2 linked regions of the Neurospora crassa OR74A genome follow. The protein of the gene in region 1 purifies or fractionates together with the protein of each later gene. This does not show direct contact. Links are inferred from orthologs where the notes say so. Each region holds a gene or a part of one and is shown in the gene's direction. Other genes may lie near its edges.

Evidence for each region.
Region 2: the proteins of NCU06086 (region 1) and NCU01440 purify together in Saccharomyces cerevisiae (affinity purification with mass spectrometry; 3 studies listed by BioGRID). This does not show direct contact. The link is inferred for Neurospora crassa OR74A from reciprocal best matches to the Saccharomyces cerevisiae genes MAM33 and MYO2.

The regions. Positions count from the first base shown.
Region 1 is NC_026507.1:1,859,883-1,863,206, forward strand, and holds NCU06086 (regulatory protein suaprga1), read left to right. Parts: upstream 1-1,208; 5' UTR 1,209-1,411; coding exon 1,412-1,761; intron 1,762-1,821; coding exon 1,822-2,296; 3' UTR 2,297-2,514; downstream 2,515-3,324. Other genes in the region: NCU17215 (hypothetical protein), read left to right, coding at 1-590; NCU06085 (LCCL domain-containing protein), read left to right, coding at 3,032-3,324. UniProt on the Saccharomyces cerevisiae protein: Not known. Binds to the sorting sequence of cytochrome b2.
Region 2 is NC_026505.1:4,738,359-4,742,824, reverse strand, and holds the start of NCU01440 (myosin-2), read left to right. Parts: upstream 1-1,519; 5' UTR 1,520-2,475; coding exon 2,476-2,610; intron 2,611-2,722; coding exon 2,723-2,855; intron 2,856-2,942; coding exon 2,943-3,132; intron 3,133-3,193; coding exon 3,194-4,466. UniProt on the Saccharomyces cerevisiae protein: Myosin heavy chain that is required for the cell cycle-regulated transport of various organelles and proteins for their segregation.

The DNA.
Region 1 (3,324 bases):
GGTGCAGCAGCGAGGACACAGTCCTCATTTCAGAACAACTCTGTTCCGTAGCCAGGAACAGCGGCAGCGGCATCTTTGGCTCCTGCCTATCCGGGGTTTCCGGCCAACGAGATCAGACGGGGTACAAGTGCTGGCAATGCCAGGACGAAGCAACCCTCCCGGCATCCCGGTCTCGAAGCAGTAGTGGCAGTGGGAGTAGCACCTCGAGTGGCAGCACAGGCGGAGGACCAAGGAGGAGGGGGAGCAGTGTTAGTGTTAGTGTACCCATTGGAGCGCAAGGTGTGAACTCCATGTATGGATACAACAACAATAACAACTATCACCATGGAGTTGGAGGGGGTGGTGGCAGTGGTGGTGTTTATGACAGGGGGCAGCAGCAGAGACGGATCTCGGTATCAGGACAGACGACGACGACGACGACGACATTGATGATGTTGCAAGGACAAGGGAGGGAGTACGTGCCTGGACCGGCAGCATTACCGGTATCAGAGCAACAGCAACAGGGACAACAACAGGATCTCGAAAGGAGGTTGAGGAGGATGGGGAAGATGAGGGCAGACTTGGGGAGATATGATGGGCGGTTCATATAGATCAGATTGTTCGCGTGGGTATTGCTGGCATTGGTCATGTCATTTGTCGTATCGATCCGAGGCATCCAAGGCACTCGGTTCCTGGCAGCCATGTTTGTTAAGTGTGGATCCAGTCGAGCCGATCTGGACCCTGGAACAGAAGAATGCTGGACCCTTTACTTGTTGGTAGAATAGCTAGAACTTATAAAGGTGTTAAGTGGTATGGCGTTGAGGAAACAAATCGTAAAAGCAGACCATCAGTTCCGTATATAGTCGACTAAAATAAGCTATTGATGAACAATTATCCTCTGGGCGCGATGTGAGTAGTCGAAGATGGAGCTGGAGGTAGGCCGCCCGTTGTTACGCGCACCTGAACCTCAACTGAAGACTGACAAAATTTTAGTGGGTCCAAAGCGTCATTGTGGGGGAACTTCCGCTAGGTGGGAGCTTATCGGCTGGCGCTACGCTTTATCGATGGGGTTCTTGCCTCTTGTCCCCGCAGCCGGGGCCTCATTGGATGGTCTGTGCTCGGCATTTTTTTGCGCTAGCTACTGCAGAGCTTTTGAAGATTTCTGGAGACGGGACCACTCAGCTGCTCTCGGCACAGGTTCGTGGAGCTTTCAGCGAGCGGATCCAATGATCAAAACCATCCATCGTGGATTGTCATCGAATTTCTCCATCACTCACGTTACCCATCTTTTCGTCTCGCTCCAGTCTTCGTCCACTCACTTACCCCAGCTTCCGTCCTCGACAACACTCCTCTGTCCCAACGCGCAACAACACGATCGGACCCGAATTTCCAATCTACAGTCAACAAACTACCCCCCACCAAATCCGTCAAGATGATGTCTCTTCGTGCTGTCGCGCGCACCACTGCGCCCCGTGCTCTCCGTGCCGTCTCTGCTTCTCCCATCACCCTCGGCCGCGCCACCGTCCGCGCTACCAGCAACGTTCTCAGGACCCAGCTCCCCCAGAAGGCTTTCTCGACCACCGTCTTCCGCGCTGCCGCCACCGAGATCGACTCTGAGCTCTCCGAGAAGCTCTCCACCGAGATTGGCTATGAGCAGGACATTGCCTCCAACGAGCCCGTTCCCGCCACCGTCAAGGATTTCCTTGAGAACGGCCCCTTTGAGCTTGTCGATACCCCCGGCAAGGAGGACGTTGTCCTGAAGCGCACCTTTGGCAACGAGCAGTAAGTTGAACCCCCAACATGACTTCGATCAAGAACCATGCGCTGACCAAGGTACGCCAGGATCACCATCTCCTTTTCCATCGCCGACCTCCAGAACTACGAGCCTGGCATGTTCGACGAGGACACGGCTCTCGGTGACGAGGAGGGTGCCCAGAACGAGGAGGACATGGGTGAGGACGGCGGCGCTCCCGTCCGTCTCAACATCGTCATTGAGAAGCCCAGCAAGGGTGCCCTCAACATCGACGCCGTTGCCCAGGACGGCTCCATTGTTGTCGACAACATGTTCTACTACCACGACGCCAAGCTCGCTCACGGTGAGAGCGCCGAGACCCAGCACGCTGCCCAGGCTGTCTACCCTGGCCCTCCCTTCGGTACCCTCGACGAGGATCTCCAGGTCCTCATGGAGCGCTACCTCGAGGACCGTGGCATCAACCAGGCCCTTGCCCTCTTCGTTCCCGACTACCTTGACATGAAGGAGCAGAAGGAGTACCTCAGGTGGCTCAACAACCTCAAGGGCTTCGTCGATGCCCAATAAATGGGGAGAGATGAGATACTGTCACGAGGAATGGAAAATCCAACAAGGAAAAGGCGAGAGGATTCGAGGCTGCGGGACGGCTTTTTGATTCCGCAGCTGATGTATGACATGTACCTGTAATTATATCCCACGTTTGATATCACGACTCCATACCAAAATTTGTATAATGCAACAGAAGCCGATGGGAACGGGTTGTGTAAGGATGAAGATGCTGTAATAGGACCAACGTCCAAGTGGACAAGACAGTTTTTAAGTTGATACAGCACCAGAGATATGACCGCAAAGGGTCCAAGTCATGAGGTGGTATGGCAAATCTTGCCCATTCTCGTTCTATGCCATGCTACCCTTGCTCGCCTTGGAAGCCAGCGGTCATGCCATTGGTTGAACTGGGGTCACTGATCTTTTAGCCCAGCTGAATCGAACTTCAACTTTGTCCATCTCCTTTCTCCGTCTTACCTTTTTTCCGTTGCAGAAACATTATACTTTGTCAGAATGTGCTTGTGATATGACATCTTTCTAATCAATTTTTGCGTTCGTTTCCGAGGATTCCGGTTACATTCATTTCATTCGTACATTTTGTCCTTAATTCACGCAGTCACTGCAACTCAATATTCGCATTGTGGTGAACATCTTGCCTCAGAACACCATCAAACTGCAGACACGCAGTCAGAACCCGCTACTCAATACCTAACCTTTACAAACGCCTCTAAATAGCACCGTTGATATGACTACAACATGGATCTGAAACACGCACACCAGGCCCAGTACAGCGGCGTACACCAAACAGACGACGATGACGACTATCATCCCCCCCTACCTGTCTCGAGTTCCTCCCGGACCCAAGCCAACGACGACCACCAACCATCAGAAGACGAAGAAGCCCAACTGCTATCGACAGAAGACTACATTGAGCAATTCGAATTCGACGACAACACCGACACATCATCGCCACCTTTCTTGACGACCAAACACTCGAGATCTAATGCCAAATCCCGACTTTCCCCAATCTACCGCCTCTTCACCTTCCT
Region 2 (4,466 bases), on another chromosome or scaffold:
ATTGATATCAAGCGAGATCTCAATTGCCTTACTAACCAGCGGATGGAATTATTAAACAGAACGGTTTGCTCACGAAGCAGAACAGCATCGGGCCGGCATCATGTCAGTCACCGTCATGGGTGTCATTATCACCGAAACAGACTCATTCCCAACACACCGGTGGATGACGTCCGAGTGAGGGACGGTGTTGACTCTGAATTGTAACAGTAGTCACTCGTCGTCAATCCGGCCACGGAGCAGACAAAAGGCGGCGACGACGCGGAGTCGGCGGCAAACCACCAAAAGCACCGCCTTTCTCCCCCCCCCCCCCCCCCCCCCTCCCCTTTTTTTTTCCTCCCAAGTCCCAGGCCCCGATACTCGGGCTGCCGGCCGCACGGGGGGCCTGGTGGGGCCCGTAAGTAGGTAGTCTCCAACAGTTTCCACAGTCTTTGACGACCCGCCATTCGCTGGCGCTCTTTTTACCCCTGCAGATTCCAGAAAGAAGAGAAGAAGGAACTGAACGCAAATGCAATTGATTGTCATGGTGCCAGACTCAGCCCGGTCCACCCATCAATGCCATAGAGGTATTGGTACGTATTTACACTATGCCCCATTTTGAGTTTGCCCATCTCTCTCCTTTTCAGGCGGACAGGTTAATGCATTTCAACTGTCAACAAGCGGGCAGACGGGCCAGACGGGGACCCAGTTGGATGGCATATCGAACGAACAAATGAACGAACGAACGGACCAGTGCAAACAATTGGCCATGGGAGTCTGGTAAGATTGGGCCTTACTTCCGTGAGTTCCTTCAGGGAGTTGTGTAAACGAAATGCTACCCTGATGAGGGGCGCCGGTGAGCTGTCGGGGAGAAATACAGAAACTCAGGGGAAGACCAAAGACCGTACATAATGAGAACGATGAAGCCATACAAATCAAGAGGGCTATAGATCAGGAGGAGAAACATGGTCGTCCTCATAGGATATCCTGACGGTTATTCACCCATTGGCGTGAGCCTCCAGAGACACATTTGTACATCTCAAGGTAGAGTGTAGACTTGGACATCGTGACCCATCTTGTACATCATGTCGTCTTCCACTGGACACCTCTCCGGACAAGACAAAGGTAACCCTTATACGCTGCTTAGAGGTGCCAGTCACCCATTGTTCTTCTTCGCCTTGTCTGTGTACTATGTAGCTTTCCACTTATGTAGAGTCGCGGGATTCCCAAGCATACCTCTAGGTATGTAATCTTCTTCGCAGTGTTGGTTAGTGCCCCCTTTTAAGGAGAGCCCTGCTTGTCCAGGTCATTTGGGAATTACGGCTCATTGGAGGGGCTCCATGGAGTCCAGCTCCCCAAGCCCACGAAAGAGTCCGTGCTTCGGTGTTAATGCAACGAGCCCAGCGACGCACCCAATTGGGCGGTGGCCGCCAAAGACCGACCACCTCAACATCCACAACAACGGGGCCCCTGTCAACGGAAGTGAACGTCGGCCGGGCTGTTAGCCTGCCACCACGACGGCCCGCCAGTGCTCTATCATCACCGGGCACCTCAGCTACACTACAAGCGGAAGCCTACCCCTAAACTTTCAACGACATCCCGTCTCGTCGTCCCGCCTTCTCGCCTACCCCGACTTTTGACTTGGTTGTTGACCACACCGGCCCGACAGGCTACTACATCAAGGACGTTCCCTCATCCACAGGTGCTATCTCGACCATCAGCCACTTCTATACAGAGAGGCTGCCACCGTTAAGAGAACCCGACTCGACCGCTCGACGAATCCGTTCTCCCACCGCAAGGCAGTGTGTTGGGTCCCCGCTCCGCCCGTTCTGCCCGCCCCGTTTATACGGCATTCCACAACCTTCCTGTCCTACACACAGTGACAGGACCTGACCTATTCCCGGTCAGCCAAACACCTACCAGCTAGCTCCCTTGGGCACGCAAAGCAAACAACAAAAGCAACAACAACATCTTTCAGCTGTTTCGTCCAAGAACAGCCCGCGCTACACTCCCATCGGTCCGACGACACGAGCCGAACCCCCTTTCGAACTCCTAGACCTACATCGTCTTCGACCACCTTGTTTGTCGGCTTGGGCTCCGTTGCCCGCACGATAGCAACATCTTTCTATACTTCTTTAATGTGTTGCTCCACGTCCAATCCCTATTTTTGTATCTAATTTCCCCCTCTTCCATTCCCTTCGTGAATGTTGTCTTCGCCAGCACCACACTCCCGCCGGCCCTTGGATTCCAAGCTTCCGCGACCGAACTAGCATCCTGGACCGCTCTTCATTCCGGTCGTTGCGTCCGCCATAACAGACACGGTCCACCATTATCCCTATCCACCCCCGTCGCCCCTAGCCGTGCTGGCCGTTCCGCCGCTAGAACTGGCTTCTTGAAGCCATCCAAATCCCACCACAACATCTCTTCCCCCTTGCTCCTGACTCGCAGGTTCGCGCCGATTTTCTCTCCCTCGAGAATACACCGATACAAGCGCATCCAATGTCGGAGAGCTATGATGTTGGCACTCGAGCCTGGCAGCCCGATCCTACCGAGGGTTGGGTTGCCTCTGAAGTAGTCAAGAAGACAGTAGACGGCAACAAGGTCACTCTTATCTTCGAGTGCGAGAATGGCGAGGTAGGTAGCTTATGCTTTCCCAAGTCTCGGCATATTCCGACTTTTGTGCTTTGGTTTACGTGCTTTGCGGGCTGGTGCGCTTCAAGATGCTAACATGTGTTACTGCCTGCAGACTAAGACCGTGGAGGTCTCCCTCGAGGCCCTCCAGTCAGGCGGCCATGAGTCGCTACCGCCCTTGATGAACCCAACAATGCTCGAAGCCAGTGATGACTTGACGAACCTATCACATCTGAACGAGCCTGCTGGTAAATATACACACACCTTTGCGCTGACTCGCCCCGCCATCGGGCGCACTCCGAGAACGTGATGCTGATAGCATGTGCTGTGCTTAGTGCTTCAGGCTATCCGCCTTCGATATGCCCAGAAGGAAATCTACACATACTCGGGTATTGTTCTAATAGCTACAAACCCGTTCGCGCGGGTTGACTCTCTTTATGTCCCAGGCATGGTTCAAGTCTATGCCGGGAAGCAAAGAGCAACCCAAGCTCCCCATCTTTTCGCCATTGCTGAGGAAGCGTTCATGTATGGGCTCTTTGCCAATTTGACGATTCATGTTGACTTGTAATCGCTGACATAACAATAGGGACATGTTGCGCGATGGCAAGAACCAGACCATTGTCGTGTCTGGTGAGTCCGGTGCCGGTAAGACTGTCAGTGCCAAGTACATTATGAGATACTTCGCGACAAGAGAATCGCCCGACAGCCCCGGATCACGAGTAAAGAAGGGTGGCCACGAGTCTATGAGCCAGACCGAGGAGGCTATCTTGGCTACGAACCCGATTATGGAAGCTTTTGGTAACGCAAAGACGACAAGAAACGACAACTCCTCGCGATTCGGTAAATACATCGAAATCATGTTTGACAAGGCCACCAACATTATCGGTGCCAAGATCAGGACCTACCTTCTCGAGCGATCGAGGTTGGTTTTCCAACCGTTGAAGGAAAGAAACTACCATATTTTCTACCAGCTGGTTGCTGGTGTGACGGACAAGGAGCGCCAGGAATTGGGCTTGCTTCCCGTTGAACAGTTCGAGTACCTCAACCAGGGTAACACCCCCACGATCGATGGCGTCGATGACAAGGCCGAGTTCAATGCGACCAAGGCATCTTTGAAGACCATCGGTGTTGACGAGGGCAAGCAAACGGAGATCTTCAAGCTTCTGGCTGGTCTCCTCCACTTGGGTAATGTCAAGATTGGTGCCATGCGAAACGACAGTTCCCTCGATCCTTCCGAACCATCGCTGGTTAAGGCCTGCGAGATTCTCGGCATCGATGCTCCAGAATTTGCCAAGTGGATCGTCAAGAAGCAATTGGTCACTCGTGGTGAAAAGATCGTGTCCAACTTGACCCAGGCGCAGGCTATCGTTGTCCGAGATTCCGTTGCCAAGTACATCTACTCGAGTCTGTTCGACTGGCTCGTCGAAATCATCAATCACAGTCTTGCTTCGGAGGAGGTCCTCACCAGAGTCACTTCCTTCATTGGTGTTCTGGATATTTACGGCTTCGAGCATTTCGCCAAGAACTCCTTCGAGCAGTTCTGTATCAACTACGCCAACGAGAAGCTTCAGCAGGAGTTCAACCAGCATGTGTTCAAGTTGGAGCAGGAGGAATACCTTAGGGAGCAGATTGACTGGACCTTCATCGACTTTGCTGACAACCAGCCCTGCATTGACCTTATCGAGGGCAAACTTGGTATCCTGTCCCTTCTAGACGAGGAATCAAGACTACCCATGGGTTCCGACGAGCAGTTCGTTACTAAGCTTCACCACAACTACGCTGCCGACAAGCACAAATTCTACAAGAAGCCCCGTTTCGGCAAGTCATCCTTCACCGTCTGCCATTATGCCATCGACGTT